4 linked regions of the Arabidopsis thaliana genome follow. The protein of the gene in region 1 interacts with the protein of each later gene in a pairwise test. Each region holds a gene or a part of one and is shown in the gene's direction. Other genes may lie near its edges. The genes, in order: AT1G48210, AT5G14210, UMAMIT11 and AT1G17200.

Region 1 (6,778 bases):
ATGATAAATTTGAAACTGATATTCCTTATCTCGTGTTTATTTTCAATAATATTCTAATATCTATGTTTTATTTACTCTTTATATGTATGAAAGGATGTTATTAATCTAAGGATCAAGTTAATCACCATGGTATCAAATTTTCATTTCATGTAACAAAATTGGATTTTTCTTTTCAAGTTTACCCAACAAACAAGGCTTTGTCGTCTCCAAATTTTGGACTAATGGTACATAGTGAAAGCCTTAAGAATCAACCCAAAGGAGGGTCTTACCTTATTTTAGGAGCTTTGTCCATACCAGGAGGTACAAAAAAAAAAGATCACAACAACAGACAATAGATGCCAAACTAGTTTACAAGTGCAATTTATGCAAATGATGAGACTAAATGCTAATCTTTACTTTAGCCGAGTGAATAATTTGAAGTGAAATGAACCTACCAAAAATTTAACAACCTCTCATATCATGATCTTGGGAGTGGACACTTTAGAATCTTCCTTGGCTGTGTCACCTGGAAGAAAGAACATAAAACCAGTTAGTGAACACACAGCTAATCTCCGAAAGGCGGCTTCTAATCATGTTCATATCTATTTCCCTTCATGTTACACTCTAAATCATATCGATTCTAACCCCATTTCTCTTTGAATTCAATACGTGCGTCAGGTTTTCTTTATCAACCCCACCAATCTAGCCTAGTTTGTACTTGCACAGATGTAAATTGATGTATCAAACAGTGATACCTAACCACACATTCTCAAACCAGTAAGCCCTCTTCTGTTGTTAAATCTAGGGAAAGTATTTGTTTGTTCTACAAGTGACATATAGACAAACATGACTACTCTAGTTTGTATAGATATGTAATAAACAAACATCTAAGAGAACAATTCTATACAGATAATTGCTGATACAAGCAAAAGAGAGGGCTGAGAGTAATCACCAGATTGATTGGTTGTGGTGGTAACTTCACCATAGATGGCCTTAAGCGTCGACAAAGGAACAACCGCGGCATTACCCGCAGAGGCAGCTTCAGCAAAGAGCTGCTGTTTCCACTCCCACATGGTGAGTTTCATTGCCTTATTAGACTTGAAGAGTGACTCCTTCTGCTCTGCTAAGGCCTCAACATACTTCTGCTGTTTATCAGATCTCAATCCCAAAACCACAAACGATACTCCTAGACACGTGTTTATCACAGCATTGTTGTTCATTGCTTCCGAGAGAAACATTGCAATCTTGTTCGCCATTCCTGTGTAGTCAAATCCATCAGTCAAAGGAATACATATTAGCAACTATCAACCAAAACCATGCACTGTGAGCACAACAAACTCAGGTAAAGCTGAATATGAACACAGAGATTGTTGTATCTAAGAACATTCAAACATTAGTTAAATGATGAAATCACCAAATTTTGTTGGAATCGATAACAAATGGTGTCATTTTGGCTACATACTCTATATTATGTGGAGATGGTGATGCTGATTTTACAATTAGAGATCAATCAGATCGATCAATAAGCTAAACAACGAATCCAGGAAACAAATAATGAAATTGAAGCAAGAAAAACAAGGAATCTGGGAGGCTAAATCGGAATGAGTAACGAAGTTTAAGAACGAAGAAAGGCTCACCCGAAATGAAAGATGCGTTGACGGCTACGGCGGCGAGGTTTGATACGACGGCGACGAGAGAGAAATCGCTTCCGTTCCAATACTAAAGGTTGTTTTGGGGATATGACTGTAATTCTAAAACAATGTTAGGGGTATTTAGGTATTTCAACACTTTTGCCAAGTAAGTAAAGTACGCAACAGTGATCATTAAGATATTTGTTTTAAAAGTGTTAAAGACGATCATTCATCATCAACACTAACACTTTTTCAAATTGTCGTCTAAAGTCTCTAAAACCACCATCGAAGTCTTGACAGAGAGAATTCGAATCGGACAGAGAATTTCTTCCGTAGTTTTTCTTGTAAGCGAAAAAGGTAAATAAAAGCTTTTTCTTCTTCCTCTGTTACGAGTTTCTCTTTTTGGTACTTTCCTTAAATGTCAAAAACCCTTTTTTAAGAACCGAGGGTTTCGAATTTCAGGTTGATTTTGATGATTAAAGGGAATATCGTAATTGATTTCATGTTTTTCAAGTTTGAAATCTGTATCCTAGGTTAAAACCTCGTTGACTTGTGAAAAGTCTAGGTCTACGGAACATAAAATGTCTCTTTCTTGTTGTTGGTGTTTGAGATTTTGATCGGTTCATCATGTAGATGAACAATGAACTATGTACTTCTTCTGATATTTGGCTTTATTTATGTGAATTTTTTTTGATTTTTCATAATTCTGTTTTTGTAAATGCTCAAAAACCTTATCCTTATAACTATTCTTATTTTTGTTTTTACTGATAACTACTCTGTGAAGTTCTCTGAAAGTTTTCTTCTTTTTGGTTATTACTATGAGAAAATCTTGTTTTGCAACACCATTTACTGAAAATTTGTGTCTGAATATGTTCATGTTCGTGCACACGGCATGATTAGCCAAATGCACAAGCTTACTCATTTGCACATCTTAGAGAAATTCTTCCAATCTTTTCTTTTTGGAAACTATTTGCTAGCTTTTGTTGGTAACATAAGTGCCTTTACCTTGTAATATTAAGCTTAGATAGCCGAATCGTGTTTGCAAAACTGTTTATTGTGCTTGTATTTTACCTTGTTTATATATATAGTTTCATAAACAGGAGATACTAGAATCTTACTCTGCAAAGCTGTTCATTTTTCTGTGTCTATTCTTCATGCCTATAGTTTGGTGCAAACTGTTTATTAGAGGTCTGTGTCTGAACAATCTCTTTGTTATCAATAAGTTTCAGAAGCTGCTCAAACCTTGTTTCTTACCACTGTTTTGTTGACATTTTGTCTTTTCTCTTTTAGAAGTTTAGTTAGCTCGTGTGAGAGAAGGGTGTAATGAGCTGTTTTGGTTGGTGTGGGAGTGAGGATTTTCGCAACGCTACTGACACTGGCCCAAGGCCAGCGCATAACCCAGCAGGTAGCTCAGTTCCTATTTCAACTGTATTACTTGTCAGTGTTTCTGTTAGTTTCCATCCTTTGGCATCCAAGTTAATGGGATTTTTAATTGTTATAAAGGTTACAATGGAGGCCACTACCAAAGAGCTGATCCACCCATGAACCAGCCTGTTATTCCCATGCAGCCTATTTCTGTACCAGCCATTCCAGTGGATGAGCTGAGAGATATAACTGATAACTATGGTTCAAAGACCTTGATCGGCGAGGGTTCTTATGGAAGAGTGTTTTATGGTGTTCTTAAAAGCGGTGGTGCAGCTGCCATCAAGAAACTTGACTCTAGTAAGCAGCCAGATCAAGAATTTCTTTCCCAGGTAGATACTATAAAGTATATCACTGCATTTTTTATCTTGTACAATATCGCCAAAAACAGCTTAACCTAGTTCTTATGTCCTATGTGCAAATAGTCCAGCATCAAACCACTCCCTTGGGAATGTTCTGTCTACTTTTGTTTTGTTACTGACGTAGAAGCTTTTAACAGATATCAATGGTTTCGAGATTGCGACATGACAATGTTACTGCACTTATGGGCTATTGTGTTGATGGCCCTCTCCGTGTTCTTGCTTATGAATTTGCTCCTAAAGGATCTCTTCATGATACTCTTCATGGTGAGTGATTAAATGTGAACCGTTGCTTAGATATGGATTAGTCACTCAATACTTAACTATCTAGAAAGTAAGATACAGGAGGAAGAAACTAATGAAACGTGGTGACTCTTTGGTGCAGGCAAAAAAGGTGCCAAAGGAGCACTTAGAGGTCCTGTTATGACGTGGCAACAGAGAGTCAAAATCGCCGTTGGTGCGGCCAGAGGACTTGAGTACTTGCATGAGAAGGTGAGCCCTCAGGTTATCCACCGAGACATCAAATCCAGCAACGTACTTCTGTTTGATGATGATGTTGCCAAAATTGGTGATTTTGATCTGTCTGATCAAGCCCCTGACATGGCTGCTCGCCTTCACTCAACTCGTGTGCTAGGAACCTTTGGCTACCACGCTCCAGAGTAACGTCTTTTTCAAGATTTTCTTTACCTTGAAAAGATTTTTTTCAGTTTCTTTCATTCAGACTAAACCATGGGTTACATGTCTTCATTCAAAAATGTTTGGTTCTCATGCTCTAATGTTATGAGTCACTTTTTCATTCACATGGATTTCGTTCCTCTTATCACTTTTTAATTACCCTTATGTGTCTATTGCATCTTTGACGAATCTATGCTTACACCTTTTTGTGTAATGTATTTCAGATATGCAATGACAGGAACGTTGAGCTCAAAGAGCGATGTGTACAGTTTTGGCGTTGTTCTGCTGGAGCTCCTAACTGGTCGTAAACCAGTCGATCATACCTTACCGCGTGGACAACAAAGTCTAGTGACATGGGTATGTTTAGTGCGATCTTCTCTGCTTCTAATTCTGGTTTGCCGCATCGATAAGAGAGGCTTTTAAGAAGACCAAATTTATAATAAACTCATTTAGTCTGTTGAAAATTACAAAAATTGGGTCAAAACCTCAAAAGAACTTGGAAGAAAAAGCCCTCCATAATTAGGCCTATAGAATTGAAACTTGGGATGTTATAACAACTGAAGACGCTGGAAAAAGCCAGAATTTTGTACGAATAGATTAATGTGACTCTAAATGTTTCCTAGAAATGAGATAATACGGTTGCTCAGTAATAAAGATGTTGTGTGTTGTCGTCTCAGGCAACCCCTAAACTAAGTGAAGACAAAGTGAAGCAATGCGTTGATGCAAGACTACTCGGAGAGTACCCTCCCAAAGCTGTTGGCAAGGTATTAATCTCAAAATTGCTTTCCTCTCATTGTTTCAATAATGCGTAAAAGATTTAACTTAAGTGTATAACTTAAAAGACCAGTTTATCTTGTGAGTGCTGACATTAGAACCAACGTAGCGAAACAAAACAAGTGATAAGCGCATTCATCTACATGATTGAAACATTTCATGAGTCTGATTTTATTTGCCATATGGTGTGATATAATGATCAGCTAGCTGCAGTGGCTGCACTCTGTGTGCAATATGAGGCAAATTTCAGACCAAACATGAGCATTGTGGTGAAGGCACTTCAACCTCTTTTAAACCCTCCTCGTTCTGCTCCGCAGACTCCACATAGGAACCCCTACTGATCAAATATTCAATCCCCCATATCTCATCTTCTGATCATGATGATTCATCAAATGTGTATTATTCATTTTGGTTCTGTATTGTGTAAATTTATGGGACCTTATCTCATTAACTCTTCATTCTCAAGTCCCACTTTTCAAGACATGTGTATGTCTCTCCTCTATATCAATATATTTTATGTTTTCCTGTGAATTCAGAAAACTCATTACTAAATTCTGATACTACATTTTCATTGAGATGATGTTTTTGCTACAGATCATAGGAATTTGCAATACATGTTGCTATGCGATGCGACGGCGCCTAGAGAAATCTAGAGATCTCCTCTGTTTCAGTGCTTTGGCTGCCTGGGGGAATTTGAATGTGATTCACTGAAGCTGTATTTTAAGTATTTGACTCATATTAGACTTGTTCCAAGTAAAATAGCAACAAGGCAACAATGGTCATCTAGTTATTTAAAAAGTGGTTGACGATCATTAAGACATTTTCAAAATTCTCATCTAAAATGGTAAACAACCATGAAAGATTCGACTCCCAATAGAGAGTTTCAAGTTCTCTCTTTCTCTTTCTCTCCTTTCCTAGTTTTTTCTTGTAGCAAAAGGTAAACCTTATGCTTCTTCTTCCTCTGTTGCGAGTTTCCCTTTTGGTACTTTGCTTAAATATCAAACAACCTTTTCAAAAAGGATCTTCCTTTCGAGGGTTAGAAAGGAGTTGATTGTTTCTAACTTTTCATGTTTGAAATCCGTATCCCTATGTTATATCTCGTTGACTTATGAAAATTCTAGGTTTAGGGAACATAATGTCTCAGTTGTTCGTGTTTGACAATTTAATTGCTTGAGTAATAAAGAGAGATAAGATCATTGATCTTACCATTTTACTCTCTTCTCTTTGTCTTAGATAGGCAAATCTTGTTTTCAAAACTGTTTGTTGTCTATATTATCTTACACTTTCATAAGTAGGAGATAGAAGCTTAAGGTGCTATCAAACCCTTTTTTTATACCTTTTGTCACATTTTGTCTTCTGTACTATTACAGTTAAGTTAGCTCGTGTGAGAAAAGGGTGTAATATAATGAGCTGTTTTGGCTGGTGTGGGAGTGAGGATGTTCGTAATCCTGCTGACACCGGACCAAGTCAAGCACATAACTCAATAGGTAGCTCACATATTTCAACTGCACCACTTGTCTTTGTTTTTCTTATATTGTCCAGTTTTTGGCTTCTAAGTAAGTTAATAGGAATTGAATCGTTGTAAAGGTTACAATGGACGCCACCATCAAAGAGCTGATCCACCAATGAACCAACCAGTAGTTAACATGCAGCCTATCGCTGTACCAGCCATTCCAGTGGATGAACTGGAAGATATAACCGAGAACTTTAGTTCAGAGGTATTAGTCGGTAAAGGTTCATATGGAAGAGTGTTTTACGGTGTTCTTAAAAGCGGTAAAGAAGCTGCCATCAAGAAACTTTACCCTACTAAGCAGCCAGATCAAGAATTTCTTTCCCAGGTAGATACTAAAATTAAAGTACATCATTTCAGTTTTTACTAACCTTAGCTTAGACCGTATATATGGATCATTTGTTTAAATGGTCCAGCATCAAAACCAC
Region 2 (7,528 bases), on another chromosome or scaffold:
TTATGAAAGGAGGACAACCCTTTCAGCTAAACTTTCTCCCCGAGGTAATTGTGTCTTTTACAACTCAGAAGTTTATGTTTGAGAGTAGTAGGCCTACATCTAGATGTGGTCCAGTATTACTCCAAATACTGATAATGAACCTTAATGTGACATCAAAGAACTACCTTGCATGATTAGTTATCTTTTATATGTACTATTTATCCCAAGTTAATTGCATATCGATGTTGATCTTGTTCTTTTCTCAGATTAATTACATGCCCCTCTCGGTTTTAATCACCACATTCACAAAGGAGAAAGTAAAGAGACCTCTTGAAGGCTTTGGGGTACTCATTCCATCTAAGGAGCAAAAGCATGGTTTCAAAACTCTAGGTAACTTGTTGGTGTGGCCTTAACTCAAACAAATAGCCCTATACTTTTCCTTCTATATTTATCAATACTTCATACTCCTCTATACGCAGGTACACTTTTTTCATCAATGATGTTTCCAGATCGTTCCCCTAGTGACGTTCATCTATATACAACTTTTATTGGTGGGAGTAGGAACCAGGAACTAGCCAAAGCTTCCACGTAAGTGAAATTTGACTGCTTACGAAAAGCTACAAAGAATCGAGGCATTTATACCATTTTTCTAGTTTCCTACTTTACCCAATTCTGACTACTTTTTTTTCTTTCTGGTTTAATCTTCGTAGTGACGAATTAAAACAAGTTGTGACTTCTGACCTTCAGCGACTGTTGGGGGTTGAAGGTGAACCCGTGTCTGTCAAGTATGTGAACTTTGGAGATTTTTTTGATTTGATCGTTTTAGTGTACGAAAGAGAAGATTACCACCCTTATAGATAAACAATATATGTTATCTGCAGCCATTACTATTGGAGGAAAGCATTCCCGTTGTATGACAGCAGCTATGACTCAGTCATGGAAGCAATTGACAAGATGGAGAATGATCTACCTGGGTTCTTCTATGCAGGTAACTTCAATTTAAAGTTTCAGTCTTATATGATCCATGATGATGAATGTAGTCAGTATATGGCCTCGAGACGATTCATTGCAGTTATTTATCTATTGTGCACGGACCAAAATAAACAGGTAATCATCGAGGGGGGCTCTCTGTTGGGAAATCAATAGCATCAGGTTGCAAAGCAGCTGACCTTGTGATCTCATACCTGGAGTCTTGCTCAAATGACAAGAAACCAAATGACAGCTTATAACATTGTCAAGGTTCGTCCCTTTTTATCACTTACTTTGTAAACTTGTAAAATGCAACAAGCCGCCGTGCGATTAGCCAACAACTCAGCAAAACCCAGATTCTCATAAGGCTCACTAATTCCAGAATAAACTATTTATGTATTGTTTGGTCTGTTTTCTTGTTGCATCACTGGTATGGTCTGTCTAGGTAGAAGAATATGATAGGGTGAGGGATTTTAGGATTGAAGAATCTTTAAAACAAATTGCTGATATTGTCTTATCTTGAAGATATCATTTCTGCTCTCTAGACAAGTTGGAGAGAAACTTGTTTGGTTTCTGGTGGGAAGGGGATGTTGATGTTTTAATTGTTTTTTCTCCAAAGCCACAACCATAAGATGGTCCCAAAAAGGTTGTCCTAATGTTAGATGTTAGTATCTGAATGCCCGTTTCTGTTCGTCCCACATGCTCTCCCGGTTCCAATTTCGTGGAGTCTTATGTTATGTCTTATCATTCTCCTATAAAGCGTTATCTGTCTTAACCCATAATGTCTTGTTAAGTCTCTTTTTGATACCAAAGCAGAATCAGTAATAGAGCTTGCATTGTTCTCTAGTCCTTTTGTTCCTTTTTGTGGTATGCTTAATAATGATGGTTACATATCTTTTATGTTTATATTAGTTTTATAATTTTAATGGTAAATCATAAGTTATAACACTAACAGTATTGAAACATCATATTGGCTATGAAATATACTAGGTTTTAGTAACATCCTGAAAATGCTAACGAAAGTATTAGCCAAATTTTAAAGCATCAATTGTGATTACACTCACGATTGTCAATTTAAAAAAAACAAAATGTTTGTTAAACCTTTTTTTTTTTTGTGCACCAACAATAACAATTTTGTTAAACAACAGTGAAGAAACATTTTAATGTTCATACTTCATATACTGTATAAAAAAAATTGACGCATGTGAGACCAAAAAAAGAAGTTAATTAATACGATGGTCCGGTCTTTGAGAGTAGAACAGACCTGTGGGACATGTACTGTATTGTGGGCCTTAAAACTTTAGCAAAGCATAATCACCACCTTTGTCTCTAAGTAATTGACCTACTTGCCCTCTTTATGCCACAAGTCTATTGGCATGTGTCTCAAAAAACTATATGCTACAATCTAAACATTGTGGATTCGTGTTTTAGATGGTTTGATAAAACTATCTTATTAGAAATGCTATTATATGGTTGGGAATGATATAATTATTTATTGCCATATTTTGTCCTTCAACGAAAGCTACTTCTACCGGACAATGTTTCGTATTCGTAGAGCAAAAGCTTCCTTTTGTCATTTGGTTGTCATTTGGTATCGTAGAAGGGCAGTTTGGTGAATTAACAAGACATGGAATCTAATCACACACAAAAATCAATGTTTAAATCTTATAAACAAAGTGGGGAAGAAGAGACATGTGTTAACGGCATCTTCTATGAGTCAACTAAAGTCACAAAGCATACACTAATAAACAAGTATCATCAAATCAGTAATCATGCTTTATCTATACCAAATTTAAAATCAAATTTCATTTGTTTTCTCATTATCTTACAGAAAAAGAGATTTCCAGACAATTGGTCATAAAAAGGAACAACCTTTCATCAAATTGAGTGCACATTTTTTGCTTTATGATTGTTTTTCGTGACCCACATTCTAAATTTACTGTTTCTTTCATAAAGAGAAGAAGAAGAAGAAAAAAGATTCTCAGATAAATTACTGAAGCTGCCATTAATGCTGCTCAACTCTTTTGTCATTAATGCTCTTATCATCTTCTTCTCTAGCTTCCCTAGTTTCTTTCTCGTCTATGTGTTGAATCCGACAAACAGACTCACAAGAATACCGACATTCTCCTCCACGATTTCTGCATTTGTCCTCACTCTCTCTTATTCTTCTTTTGCTTTTTGTTTCCTGACCTCTTTCTCAGGGATTTTGATTATAAACCAATTCAGTTCCTTGGAGTTTGCTCCATAGGAGCGTCTGGGATCACGAGCTTGGTTTGACTTGAGTTGACTAGAAAACACCTAGATGGGTCTCTTTCATTTTCCTCTCAGAATCCAAGTCTGCTTCTAGTTCTAGGGTTCTGTTTCAATTCATCTTTGTTTTCTTTTCCTGCAATGGAACAATTAAAGGTTTTACCTTTGCTCTTTCTTTCATGGGTTATGTTCTTACAAAGCACTCATCAACTGCCGAACTCTCAGACTCAGGTCCTGTATCAGCTCAGGAAGCATCTGGAATTCCCTAAAGCTCTGGAATCTTGGGGAAATTACTATGGAGACTTATGTCAAATCCCTGCAACTGCTCACATGAGCATCACCTGTCAAGGTAATTCCATCACGGAGCTTAAAGTCATGGGGGACAAGCTTTTTAAACCATTTGGTATGTTTGATGGGTCTTCACTTCCAAATCACACTCTGTCTGAAGCATTCATAATTGATTCTTTTGTTACCACATTGACAAGGCTTACAAGCTTGAGGGTTCTTAGCTTAGTGTCTCTAGGTATCTATGGTGAGTTCCCAGGGAAAATCCATCGGTTGAATTCTCTTGAGTACTTGGATTTGAGTTCAAATTTTCTGTTTGGCTCTGTCCCTCCTGATATTTCCAGATTGGTTATGCTTCAAAGTCTGATGCTTGATGGAAATTACTTCAACGGTAGTGTTCCAGACACGTTGGATTCCTTGACCAATCTTACTGTTCTTAGTTTAAAGAACAATCGGTTCAAAGGTCCATTTCCTTCTTCAATTTGCAGAATTGGAAGACTAACAAATCTTGCTCTATCACACAATGAGATTTCTGGTAAATTGCCTGATCTCAGCAAGTTAAGTCATCTGCATATGCTGGATCTGAGAGAAAACCACTTGGATTCTGAACTACCTGTCATGCCTATAAGATTAGTTACTGTTCTCCTGAGCAAGAACTCCTTCTCAGGCGAAATTCCAAGACGTTTTGGCGGTTTGTCTCAGCTTCAGCATCTTGACTTGTCGTTCAATCATCTGACTGGAACTCCATCTCGGTTCTTGTTCTCTTTGCCAAACATTAGTTACTTGGATTTGGCATCTAACAAGCTCAGTGGGAAGCTACCTCTTAATCTGACCTGTGGAGGCAAACTCGGATTTGTGGATTTGTCGAATAACAGATTGATTGGGACTCCTCCCCGTTGCTTGGCAGGAGCTTCCGGCGAGCGAGTTGTTAAACTTGGTGGAAACTGCTTGTCCATAATTGGCAGTCATGATCAGCATCAAGAATTCTTATGCGAAGAGGCTGAAACTGAGGGAAAACAGTTCCAAGGAAGAAAGGTTGGGATTTTGATTGCTGTCATTGGTGGAGCTGTTCTTGTTCTTGTGTTTTTTGTATTAGTTATCCTCCTCCTGTTATGCACAAACCGCTGCTCTAGCTGTTGTTCAAGAGAAAAGTCAGTGCCGCAAACTCGGCTTAAGGTTGTGACAGATAACTCACACACCAGTCTCTCCTCTGAAGTTCTTGCTAGTGCAAGTGAGTAACTTTTGACTCAAAATGTAGACTATTCCTGCTAGGAATTGTCTTTCAGGGATTTAATATCCTTGTATGATTTCGTCTTGCAGGGTTAATCTCTCAAACAGCAAAGCTAGGTGCACAGGGTGTGCCCTCATGCCGGTCCTTTTCTTTTGAAGATTTAAAGGAAGCCACAGACGATTTTGATTCATCACGTTTCTTAGGTGAAGGCTCCCTTGGAAAGGTATGGTTTGTCTTCTGCAAGATTAATTCTTGTGATCTGCCTATCTGTCATTTGCTTTACTCTGCTTGTTTTGATCCTTTGCAGCTATACAGAGGAACACTGGAAAATGGAAGTTCCATAGCTATCAGATGTCTGGTTTTATCAAGGAAATTCTCCAGCCAGAGTATCAGAGGTCACTTAGACTGGATGGCAAAGCTCAACCATCCTCATCTCCTTGGCTTCTTGGGCCATTGTACGCAAACCAGCGGAGAACACGATCCTGTTGCAACCATACTCTACCTTGTATACGAGTATATGCCCAACGGGAGCTATCGCACACATCTATCAGGTCAGTCGTTTGGCATTTGTAGTAAACTAAATGTTATACTGAATCTCTCTGTACTTGGAAAATCGTTGTTGTTAGAATATTGTTTATTTGTAGAATCTTTCTCGGAGAAGATCCTGACATGGCCAGATCGGCTAGCAATTCTGATTGAGATAGCAAAGGCAGTTCATTTTCTTCACACCGGTGTAATGCCTGGTTCATTCAACAATCAGCTTAAGACTAACAATATTTTGCTTGACGAACACAAGATTGCAAAGCTCAGTGACTATGGAGTCTCTGCCATCATTGAAGAGAACGAAAAGCTTGAGGTTTGCTCTATTTACTCTCTTTCACTGTGTTTATCTTCATTTTGTATGATCTTCTTTGACACTAACTCAGGACTCTACTTTACTCCTGCTTCTACATTTTGCAGACAAAGTCAGAAACCCACAAGTCAAAGTATGCATCTTTTGTCCTTGTATAGCAAAACTCCATGGCATTTATGAGAATCTAATCCAAACTTTGAGATTATGCAGGAAAAAGGCTAAAAGAGAGGACGATGTGTACAACTTCGGATTCATACTTCTGGAATCTCTGATAGGACCAGTGCCCACTACAAAAGGAGAGGCTTTTCTTCTCAACGAAATGGTAACAAAGAGAAAAAGCAAAAAAAAAAAGCATCATCATTGTTATTTGATTGAAACAAATTTGGTTAATAGCTGTTGCTGCAATGTTGTGTTTGCAGACATCATTTGGGAGCCAAGACGGTCGGCAGAAAATAGTAAGTCCAACAGTCCTAACAACAAGCTCGCAGGAGTCTTTATCGATTGCGATCTCAATCGCCAATAAATGTGTTTTGCTTGAACCTTCCGCAAGACCTTCCTTTGAAGATGTTCTCTGGAACTTACAATACGCAGCTCAAATGCAGTCTGCCGCAGACGCTGAACGCAAATCTGATACGTCGTCGTGAATCCAAAGGCTAACCTAATGATTGATAGTTTTTTCGGTTTTCTAAATGTAAAGCTCTATAAGTTTGGTTTTCAGTATAAAAATGTAAGACTCTTGAGACTAAAAATCATAGTAGCTTGTCTTCTCTTGAAACTTATTTCGTTAAACAAATATTGATTGAAGAAGATATTGAGTCTTGTAGTTGAAGAGAAATTCTCAATCTTCAAGAACAAGGTAAGTAAAGGCAGGAGACCTGTCAAATGTTTTTGGAGAATCTTGTCTTTGAATTGCAGAATCGATCCCAAATAATTTATTTATTATAAAAGGTACAATGTTGCATGGATTAGCATATAAGTGACCGTAAAACCAAGTGCTACACAAACTTTTTCAAGTGCTTCAAATCATCAATAAACTTAAACAGTAGCTGGAACTTTGGATTCCACTGATTTGAGAACCTCCTCACCCATTTCCTTGCATCCCACCAGTTTCTGCATTTTCAAAACACAAAAGACTTTTTTAAGTATTTTGTTACGAACTTGTACAAAACAAATGATAAGAATCATCATGCACATACATTTCCAGGGGAGTAGATGTCTCCGGTTCTGAACCCTTTGTTCAGAGCATCCACGACAGCGTCTTCAATCCTCTTTGCAGCCTTTTCTTCTCCAAGTCCATACTTCAGAAGCATCGCCGCGCTGAGAATGGTGGCCAATGGGTTTGCCTTGTCTTGTCCAGCTATATCTGGTGCTGAACCATGTATAGGTTCAAAGAGTCCAGGTCCCTGATTTCATCACAAGTTTAACATTTCGCATTAGTTTATAAACAGGAGGAGCCTTGAAAGATGTTAGTTAATTTTGTTTACCGATTCACCGAGACTAGCAGATGGAAGCATTCCAATGCTTCCAGTGATCATTGAAGCTTCATCAGACAATATATCACCAAAAATGTTATTGGTAACGATTGTGTCAAACTGCATTGTTTTAAAAACACCGTGAGTACTAGTTCCACTTCTGAGTTAGCTTAATCAACGACTAAGTTTGATATATGTGCGAGAAGCACCTGTTTCGGGTCACGAATAAGCTGCATTGCAGCATTATCGACATACATATGTGATAGTTCAACATCTGGATATTCAGAGGCTAAAGCTGTTACTCTTTTCCTCCACAATATTGATGCCTACATGAAACAAAGAAATTTGCATTTCGTAAAACACACAAAAGTGGAAAAACAATTCAGTGAACTAACAGAACGTACATCCAACACATTGGCTTTGTCAACAGAACAAAGTTTGCCACGCCTTTTCCTAGCAGTCTCGAATGCTACACGAGCAATTCTGTCA
Region 3 (5,555 bases), on another chromosome or scaffold:
GAAACATATGGTTTACACTAATACACGAATAGAAATCCTATTATGATGAGTTCATGCATGATACAGTGGTTGGTATACTTCACTATAAATTTATATGATCTTGAACTCGAATATAACATAGAATGATCATATATATATATATATATATATATATATATGAAGACATTCCAATATTGTTACTATTGTTAAATAATCAACATCATATCATTTGTACAACACTAGTCAGTTGGTTCAATCATAATACTTCTAAAGTACTTATGTTTTTATACATGCAGACGAGTGAGCGTGAGACATTTCCTCTATTTGGATAAGTATATTGAATTATTAATTATTAACATAATGGATAGTTTAAATTTCAAAAAAATAACAAAAAAAATAATGATGGATAGACTAGAACCTCCAATTAAAACAATGCAAATCAAGATGTTGAACCGATCGAACCATCAAACTTTTTCGGATTGCATAATAAAATAATTCGTCTTTGTTCTCATTCTCACCGTGCATATACATATCAACAAAGTCATGCGACCTAATATAATACAGTTGAATCTATCTAATTTTTTTAAAAAAAATTAAGATACGAATTCCACACAAACCTTCTCCAACTAAGTAAAGTAGCCACTATTGTCACTTAAAGTGACATTAATGCATATTCTATAAAAGATAATGGATGCCCAACTAAACATAAGTGAAGTATTTGGGATATATAATAAAACAAAAGAATCCAATGAGTTATGCTATGTGGTTAGCTTTTGTTCACGAATTTATATATTGTATAATATATGAGGTTTACATTTCGGATAAGCAATTCTAGGCAGATCGATGATATGTACGCAAACATGTATAGATGTATTCAAGAATTGAGTATATAATTGCTTATCCGAAATGTAAACAACAGGTATGAACATATATAATTAAGTGCCCAAAACAGAACATATATTCAAGATTTTCTTGTACTAATAATATTCTTTTTTTTGGTAAGGTGTTCTAATAATATTCTGATTAGATTAACTTTTAACCATATATAACTCATAATTATTTTGTTACGTAACTCTAAAAATATCTGGGGTTTTATTTCTTTGTGAAGAGATCGATAACAGACAAGACATGTAACACATATTTTGTCCACCTTAAATTTCTAAACATGAAATGTAGTTTTGAGATATTGGCCGGTCCCAATGTACGTAGGATTGAACCCAATTGATTATTGCTGCCACGTGGAACTCAATCTGTCCACTTATGCTTCTTCATTGATTTAACCTCTTATTAAAGATCGATGATTTATGACCATGAATGTAGTAATTAGGATAGAGGTGGACATACGTCAGATTCCACACGTATATAACCCCATATTAGCATTACAATGAGTTAATCTTTTTGCAGAGGTCGGTCGATTTGTCAAATTTCTACTATACATTAACCAAAAGATATTCTACTATATATTAAATAAAGCAATTAGCTTATGATGGTGATGAGTCATGAGACCACATATATCGAAAACCACGGTAGACTAACAATCGCAACAATTTTTCTGTGGCTTTCAAGTTTCTTTTAATCTTTTAACAATACGCTAATCCGATCCGGCTAATTTTAGTTCAGTTTGGATTTTGTGATTTTATAGACAAGTCCACAGTTTAAAAAAAAAAAAAACCATGTTTAAAGCCAATTGCATGAATAAAATAATTTACATGCATGTTAGAATTACGTTTTAGTGTCCATATGTACTTATTAGTTTTTTTGTTTTTTTTGCAACTACAACATATACTAATGTTGTTGTTTTTTGTGCAACTAAAACATATACTACTATAAACATGTAAATTTTGATTGTTAAGAAATGAGGTGATGTTAATTAATCACTTGTTCCACACTGATCACACTTTTAACCTCGACTTTTAGTAGCCACAAGTTTTATTTAAAATCCTAATATGATTGGTTTCACGAAGTCATATAAACAGAATATATATATGTAGAATGTTTTATCCACTTACTTTAGAGATAATGAATTCATGACACCCAATTCTTATGCCGAATCAAACCGGAATAATTAACGCTAACGTCACCGAAAAAAAATAAAATAAAAATAACAAAAATACAAAGGAAGAAATCAGAGAACACTGAACATATCCGAATAATATGCTATATATACAAAGAACCTCTCACCACTTGGTTCTCAGGAAAAAGCACATTCTCCAAGTGTTTCTCTCCTCTCTTTTCCTAACTCAGTTTTCTTATATACATAACACTAATTTGACAATTTTTTTGTCCTCGAGGATCCTAAAATAACTCCAAAACTTTGATTGGTTTTTCTTGCTCTAAAACAAAAACAAAAACAAAATATTAAGATGGGATTAAGGATGTCAGAATCAGCTAAACCTTATTTTGCAATGGTCTGTCTTCAGTTCGGATACGCAGGTATGAACTTAGTAACTAAAACCGTCCTAGACCGCGGTATGAGCCATTACGTTCTTGTTGCATACCGCAACGCTTTTGCCACAGCCGCTATCGCACCCTTCGCTCTTCTCTCCGAAAGGTACATATTTCTTCTAAAGAAATCGATTCTCGCAAGACTTAGATTTTTTTTTTTTTTTGGTAGTAATAATTATGTATTGGGGATTTTTTTGTAGGAAAGTGAGATCAAAGATGACGTTTCCAATATTCATGCGAATATTTCTTCTTGCTCTTCTCGGGTTAGTCTTCTAACAGAACCGTTGATATCAAGAAGATTTTGTAATAATTACGATTAAGGCTAACATGGAAGGTTTAATTTGAACAGGCCGGTGATTGATCAGAACTTATACTATATCGGTCTAAAACTCACATCACCAACGTTTTCCTCCGCCGTTAGCAACATCGTGCCTGCAATTACCATTATCCTTGCCACACTTTTCAGGTAACATACAAAAAGCAACTTTTTTATTATTTACATTTATTCATTTAACCAAAGAAAAAGATACGTTTTATTATATTTTGGTACGTGGATATGCACCAATTCAAAAGTAGATGTATAGTAGTACAATTAGTGTATGACGATCGATGTCATAAATTATGAATATTGATGTGTGTGTTTTATGTAAATATTTGTTTTAAAGGATGGAGAAAGTGGAGATGAGAAAAGTAAGATGCCTGGTAAAAGTGATGGGGACGTTAGTGACAGTGGTTGGATCCATATTGATGATATTCTACAAAGGTCCTTTCATTAATTTCTTCCGGTCTCACCTCACGGCCGCCTCTTCGCCGCCGACGGCTGACTATCTTAAGGCTGCCGTCTTCCTACTCCTCGCTTCCCTCTCATGGGCGTCGTTCTTTGTTCTTCAGGTATGTATCAATTATATATTGATCCTGTGTATAATATAACTCACTTCTTACATCACTAAAAAACGTATAATATAGTTTTTAGGATTAGTTTTAAATTTCCATCAACATAGGAAAATATAGTTTATGCACCAAACCATGTAGGGGATACGTAAAAGTAATATAAAAAATTTGAAATTTTAGATATAGTATTAATAATGTTACTGGGATGTTGTTTCTAATTTTTCATGTTATATAATTTTTAAAAAAATAATTGGGTTAACTATATCTAAAATAATAATATGATTGGAATTTTTTTTCACTGTTTTCGTAATATATAAAAATATAGATTTAACGAATTAGGCTTTTATATTTTGTTAAATAGGCTGCGACTTTGAAGAAATACTCAGCCCATCTCTCAATGTCAACAATGGTGTGTTTCATGGGAACGTTACAGTCTTTAGCCCTAGCCTTCGTAATGGAACACAATCCTTCTGCTTTGAACATCGGTTTTGACATGAACCTTCTCGCTTCTGCCTACGCGGTTCGTCCTTTATTTCATCATGCCACTTTCACAAATAACAAAAAGATCAGTTTACAAAAATATTGATACTAACATTGTGATTGGTAACGGTTACAGGGAATAATGTCGTCGAGCATAGCTTACTACGTTCAAGGACTTATGATGCAGCGAAAAGGACCGGTCTTTGTCACTGCTTTTAACCCTCTTATCGTTGTCATTGTCTCCATCATGAGCTTCTTCGTTCTCGGTCAAGGAATCTACCTTGGAGGGTACGTTAACAACAACCGGTTAATTATGATATATTCCCGGTTTAGTCTTGGCTCTGTCTTGTTAATTAATCAAACCGAAATTTGTTTTCTTTTTTCAGGGTTATTGGAGTGGTTGTTTTGATGGTGGGAGTCTACGCCGTGTTATGGGGCAAACATGTAGATGATGACGGCGAAGAAACACGCCATGAAGATAACGTTGTAGCCGTTAAGTGTTGTAGTGGCAATAATGGTCTAACGATAATGCCGAAAATCGACGAAGCTGATGAGGAGGATGTTGAAACCGGAAAGGCTACGTCGGAGAAGGAGTCGTCAGTTCCGGAAGTGGTGGTGGTAGTTTTTTGTAGTGAAAATGTGCATAGCGTTTCACGACCTAACTAGATGGGTTTTCAATTTTTTTTTTACTTTTTGTTAGAAGCAAAATTGGGGAGAAGAGTAACTTCTTTTTTTGATACTTGTAAGTTTGAATTCCTTTTCCCGTGCTTCAAAAGTTTTATATTTTATTTATAGTTTTGATTTCTTATTGTAACTAAGGGATTCGATTTTGATCGTTGACTAGCTATACAATCCCGTGTAATCACTACATTTGGTATTGGTACGCATCTGTTACATACCATTTTTACGGCGGTTTTAGTGAACTATATTATAAAAAAAAATCGTAAGTTTTTTTGTGTGTGTGTTAACAATGTACTCACTACTCACTGTTCCATATTTTTGATGTACGTATATCGAAAACATTCTGCCAACAAATGCAAACATAACAAAAGTCAAAAACAATAACATAACCGGGAATTAAACCAAAATGTAATTGCTTTTTATTAGTGTCAGGCCTTCTGCTTAAAAATATTCTCGGCCCAGAGCCCATTAACACCTATCTCAATTCATATTGAAGAAAATGACTATATTACTTGACAAAAACTTTAGTCAGAAAAATATGGAATCTCTTTCGGTACTGCTAAGTGCTAACCTTAAATAGTATAGAATTCTTAGTTCATTCTCAAAAACATAGCTATATGTAGATTATAAAAGTTCGATATTATTTCCTGCAAAAGATGTTATAATGTTACAACTTACAAGAAAATGATGTATATGTAGATTTTATAAACTGGTACCGTAATTCATAAAAGATGGTGGTGGGTATGTATCAGTAACGGAACTTACATATGCGTGTGTATTACTATGTCTATATGGTGTATTCCTTTGTGTGGAACAATGCACGTCAGAGTTGTTTATTTTCTTATAGAATTTAAGGAATCAATTATTGGATTTCTCAAGGTGAAAGTGGACTTCTTTGCACGCAAGGTCTAGTTGCCGACTTGCCGTTGCATGTAACATGATTGTTGAAATAAAGTGAATTGAGAGAAGTTTGGCCAGACATTTTAAATTTAACCCAAAAAAAGTAGGGCCTAACACAAAATATAACCTCTCTTTGTTCAAAGGAAATAACACCTACGTCTTATAATTGAACCAAACAT
Region 4 (4,716 bases), about 12 Mb from region 1:
GTATCGAAACAGAGTTTCCTATATTGACTACGTGGACCAAGAGGTGTTTGGAAAGAGAGAGTGTGGTCAAGGCATTGGCTGATTCTGATAGGATCATTGAGTATGTTTATGTCCTGAGGAAGAAATTTGGAGCAGCGTAAAAAAATGGTTTGGGTTTCAAGAAGGCTGTTATTTTCTGTCTTTTATAATGTTTCATGTGAGGTTTGTAATTGTTATTTCTGTCGTTTTGTTGAAAGTATGATAAACCGTAATAACGAAATGTTTACTGTACCCTATTAAATTCGACGACATTGCACTCAATTTGAATAAACCGGATTAGCTTCAGTAAACCATCCGGTTTAATCGAAGAGTCGTTTCAGTTCACGAACCGTACATATTAATTCCGAGGACTTGTTCTTCCTGATATCAATTATATCAACATCATCTGACATGACATCTTATAACAAATGATTGATCTATTTTCAATTACAAATACAATATGTAGTTGGACTTAATATAACTAATGATTAACTTACTCTTTTTGTTGTTTATAATAGAGATATTTAATAATCTATAACAAATCAATCCAGTAATATATGGAATTCTTGTGTCTTTCATGATTTATCGTTAATTGTGGAGCTATGAATCAAATTCGAAAGAAATGTTACAATATACCTCTAGATTGAGACTGGCCACGAGACTGAGAACACTTATCTATCTTGTATTTTTATTTTTGGTTTTATATTTTTGTCAAATTTATTTTTGCTTTTATCTTACGAGGCAGTTTAAGTTTAAACATTAACAAACAAAAACAAAACAATAAAATTATGGTCAATGTAATTACACATATATATATATATGTATAATCTTGCGTAAAGATATGGTTTGATTGATCCAACACTTAAACAAAACCTTTAATATGCGTTGCTAAGCTGTCCCTTATCATAATCCCTATCAAATTCATCATTCATATTTTTTAGTTCCTCTATTATTTATTTATTTAAGGGTAAATTAGGAAAAAGTCTCCTATTAATTGACAAAGGCAATTGAATTCATAATTACGAAAGAACCTATCAACGTTATTTTCGTCGCTAATTATAGTAACCTGAATTTTTTGATGACGTTATTATGATCACGTGGAGCTCGGAGGAACTCAATAAATAATGTACAATAACTGATTTATACTTGTCTCAGTATACGGATATAAGATATTTTTCCAAAACAATGAAAGTACACGTTGCCTTGCCAGTTGCCTGCATATATATACACATCGTCTAGTAGATACCATTACAGTATATTGTTGTTGAGGTTTTATAAATTGTGTAATGATTTTGTATAAATTAAAGAAACATATCTCCAGGCATCTCATAATTACGAAATCACGTTTAACTTTATAAAATATTATTAATACCACAAGATTTGAAAGTATTTTTAACAAATCATAATTTGAATCATATGTGAAATTTTGCAGCCAAGAGCATTCATATTTGATCTACCAGAATGTCATAATGATCAAATTTCATATTTGATCCGCCAAGACCCTGAGCATTCATTTGATCCACCAAATTAAAAAGTCCTAGTGGATTATAACTTAGAATTATTTACTTTTATTAAATCAACTAATCTATGAACCACTCAACCACATACTACATTATAAGAAAGAAAACGTAAGTAGCCAAACTAATACTCTATACATTTATTATATAAGACGAAACAAGATATATCCATTCTCGACCACGACATTGGATTAGCTTAAAGTTATTTTTAGTATCCTATAAACAGTACCGTAAACGGAGCAATCTTGCAAATCATTTGCTTCAAGTTCAAAAACCTATCTAGGGTTCTCTGGTGGAGATGTGCTAACTGATTTTCTAACTTGAGTTTAGTATAGTAATTTTTGTTTTTTTTTTCGTATTTTAAGATTTGAACTGAAGGATTTAGAAAAGAAATGATTCCAATCTTGAGTATAGAGAGAGACCTTCATACGGAGTATATTACAATGAATTATAATCTAGATTGTAGTGGAGTGATCAATATTTTGCTTTTTAGCGGGGAGTTATCATTTTCGAAGGCTTTAAATGTTTTTTTTTGCTTGGGAAATGTGAGGAGTGTCATGAATATCGAAATTAAATGCATTCACCAACCCTATCGATCCAACACTTCCCTTTAGTTAATGTCACACATTAAAATCATATCCACTTGTTTATAACCACATTTTCTCTCAAAATCCATAAAAAGAGAGAGAGATAAATAAAGAGAAAACTAAAGAAGCTAGAAGATGGAGAAAAGTAATGATCATGACAAGGCTAGCCACGGCGGCTCCGGTGGTGGTGCCACGGAGAAGTGGGAGGAGACTAGCCTCGGAATCCGAACTGCCGAGACAATGCTCCGGTTAGCTCCGGTGGGCCTTTGTGTTGCAGCACTTGTTGTCATGCTTAAGGACTCTGAGACTAATGAGTTCGGTTCAATTTCTTACTCCAATCTCACAGCCTTTAGGTACGTATCTTCTCCATACACATATATTAACTGTTCATCTTCAAGATGTAGAGTTATTTCTTCTTGCATACTATTTACAATTAGGGTTTATATGTTGTGAGATGGTGTGGCGAAGTTTCACATGAAACACACAAAAAAAGTTCTAGTTTTAAGAAACTGACTGTAACTATGTGCATACATATTAGTATATTACATATGTACATGTATATTAACCTATATCTACATATTTCACCAAAATTTGTAATCAGAATCCCAATATTTTCAGAATTAATTAAATTAATTTGGATCGTTAAACCAAACAAATTGTGCTGACTATGAAGACACGTCGAGCTTTTGGCCAGTTTCTAATTTGTTATTTGGTTTACCAGATTGATTATGACCGGTTTTGTAGTTGTAAACATTATGTTATCTTTATTGAACTTCCCAAACTTTTCCTTAAAATTTTGGCCCCAAATTTTCGTTCTTCTCATGAAACAAGCGGCTCTGATGAGTTAAATACAAAATGGAGAATTTTTACTTTTGTCTAGGGCCCCAAAATGCTAGGCAAAGACACGTATTAGTCAAGCTACATTTGTTGGTTATCGAAGTTAGCATAGATAGGGTTTGATAAAGTATAGTCGAAATAAACTGTTTTTGTAAAAAAATATTGATTATCGGTAATGGTAATAATGTAATTACAAACTTAGGTACTTGGTGCACGCAAATGGAATATGTGCAGGCTACTCTCTTCTATCAGCAGCCATTGCAGCGATGCCTCGTTCTTCTTCGACAATGCCTCGTGTTTGGACCTTCTTTTGTCTCGACCAGGTCTACTATTCAAAAAATTCGGTTATAAATGATCCACTGAAGTACAAAAATTAATTTCATAATGTTTTATTGTCTCAGCTTCTGACCTACCTGGTTCTTGCTGCTGGAGCTGTATCAGCTGAGGTTCTATACTTGGCTTACAATGGAGACTCAGCCATTACTTGGAGCGATGCATGTAGCTCCTATGGCGGTTTCTGTCATAGAGCCACTGCTTCTGTTATAATCACATTCTTTGTGGTTTGTTTCTACATCGTTCTCTCTCTAATCTCCTCTTATAAGCTCTTTACTCGCTTTGATCCTCCTTCCATTGTTGACTCCGCCAAGAATCTCGAAGTCGCTGTCTTCGGAAGTTAGATCCTCCATTTGCTCTTCAAGTACATCTAGTTTGTCATGTTTCAAATGTTGTGTGTTTTTAACTTTGGTCAAGAGAAAGAATGCTTATGTGTTTGCTCTTCTTTCATTGCTTTTCTTCCTATTACGACTCGTCTAACTAATTGAAGGGTATAAACAAGAGAATCATACGGAAAAAAAACACAAGTCGAATCATACAAAATTACCGGAGCCAAATTATCCTGAACACAAGTATACAACGGTTCAAAACACACATTGTCTTGTAAATTAATTTCAAGCAAACCAAAGTTGTTAATCCAGGATTATGATAAACAGCAAAAAAAAAAGGAGGAAGATACAACAAGAGTCTATAAGATTATTAAATAACAAGATTCAGCACTATCACCTTTGTTTAGGCAGTCTTTAACTTTTACTTACTACACAAACTTTTACTTTAAATTCATAGAAACCCCAACGTTTATAGATCAGAGAGATTATAGTAACTTCTTTATTTGTACTGCAAAAAAAGGAAACCCAAGCTAAAGAGCCCTAACCAAGTGTTGTTCAAGCTTATATGCTTCACCACACCAATATATATATATTGATTTCATCTGCAATTGTACCCTTTTGTTTTTATTCGCAAGCAAATTATTCTTACTTTTTCCCATGGCTGCTGATAAAAGAGTGGCGTTTCAAGAGCTTCTGGGAAGGAGTTCGGTGATCATCCTACAAACAAAAGAGTTGAAACAAAGTTAGTGTTAGTGTCAGATCATCCTGAGAAGGAAGAAAATAAAGTAACGGATAAGTTGGTAACAAACCTTGCACAGAGATGCAGCTGATTCTGATTCCATTGTCTGGTTTTGAGGGTTTTCAAGCGACTGGAACGAATCAAGGGCATCAAGAGTTAGTTGCCACCCACAAACTGCCTCAGCAAAACCTGAAGAACCCGAGCTATTGCTGCTACATCCAGCAGCAGCCACATTTTCATTAACCCAAGGACAGTAACAGTTATGATACTTTATTGGATCAAACTCCACAATATCATCATTGCTGTCTCCGTTTTGTGGCCCTGAAAAATGAAACAGCATATATTTATTACACTTT

The links.
Region 2: the proteins of AT1G48210 (region 1) and AT5G14210 interact in a protein complementation assay, tested with the Arabidopsis thaliana proteins (one large-scale study listed by BioGRID).
Region 3: the proteins of AT1G48210 (region 1) and UMAMIT11 interact in a protein complementation assay, tested with the Arabidopsis thaliana proteins (one large-scale study listed by BioGRID).
Region 4: the proteins of AT1G48210 (region 1) and AT1G17200 interact in a protein complementation assay, tested with the Arabidopsis thaliana proteins (one large-scale study listed by BioGRID).

What each region holds. Positions count from the first base shown.
Region 1 is NC_003070.9:17,796,618-17,803,395, forward strand, and holds AT1G48210 (Protein kinase superfamily protein), read left to right. Parts: upstream 1-1,813; 5' UTR 1,814-1,967; exon of another isoform or gene 1,968-2,798; intron 2,799-2,900; 5' UTR 2,901-2,933; coding exon 2,934-3,015; intron 3,016-3,113; coding exon 3,114-3,364; intron 3,365-3,531; coding exon 3,532-3,658; intron 3,659-3,776; coding exon 3,777-4,050; intron 4,051-4,290; coding exon 4,291-4,423; coding exon of another isoform or gene 4,424-4,489; exon of another isoform or gene 4,490-4,743; coding exon 4,744-4,830; intron 4,831-5,043; coding exon 5,044-5,181; 3' UTR 5,182-5,713; downstream 5,714-6,778. Other genes in the region: AT1G48200 (uncharacterized protein), read right to left, coding at 453-505, 932-1,235; AT1G48220 (Protein kinase superfamily protein), read left to right, coding at 6,246-6,327, 6,428-6,678.
Region 2 is NC_003076.8:4,577,186-4,584,713, reverse strand, and holds AT5G14210 (Leucine-rich repeat protein kinase family protein), read left to right. Parts: upstream 1-1,857; 5' UTR 1,858-3,339; coding exon 3,340-4,714; intron 4,715-4,803; coding exon 4,804-4,937; intron 4,938-5,021; coding exon 5,022-5,570; intron 5,571-5,674; coding exon 5,675-5,700; intron 5,701-5,777; coding exon 5,778-5,889; coding exon of another isoform or gene 5,890-5,986; coding exon 5,987-6,211; downstream 6,212-7,528. Other genes in the region: HEMG2 (Flavin containing amine oxidoreductase family), read left to right, coding at 1-44, 246-369, 459-567, 690-764, 861-967, 1,087-1,208; IMD1 (isopropylmalate dehydrogenase 1), read right to left, coding at 6,603-6,677, 6,764-6,970, 7,052-7,159, 7,249-7,365, 7,444-7,528.
Region 3 is NC_003071.7:17,062,302-17,067,856, reverse strand, and holds UMAMIT11 (nodulin MtN21 /EamA-like transporter family protein), read left to right. Parts: upstream 1-2,043; 5' UTR 2,044-2,342; coding exon 2,343-2,530; intron 2,531-2,624; coding exon 2,625-2,687; intron 2,688-2,773; coding exon 2,774-2,890; intron 2,891-3,089; coding exon 3,090-3,315; intron 3,316-3,676; coding exon 3,677-3,835; intron 3,836-3,931; coding exon 3,932-4,083; intron 4,084-4,181; coding exon 4,182-4,461; 3' UTR 4,462-4,759; downstream 4,760-5,555.
Region 4 is NC_003070.9:5,876,236-5,880,951, forward strand, and holds AT1G17200 (Uncharacterized protein family (UPF0497)), read left to right. Parts: upstream 1-2,154; 5' UTR 2,155-2,257; coding exon 2,258-2,475; intron 2,476-3,129; exon of another isoform or gene 3,130-3,161; coding exon 3,162-3,282; intron 3,283-3,360; coding exon 3,361-3,636; 3' UTR 3,637-3,838; downstream 3,839-4,716. Other genes in the region: GSTU26 (glutathione S-transferase tau 26), read left to right, coding at 1-140; ILP1 (IAP-like protein 1), read right to left, coding at 4,267-4,338, 4,431-4,681.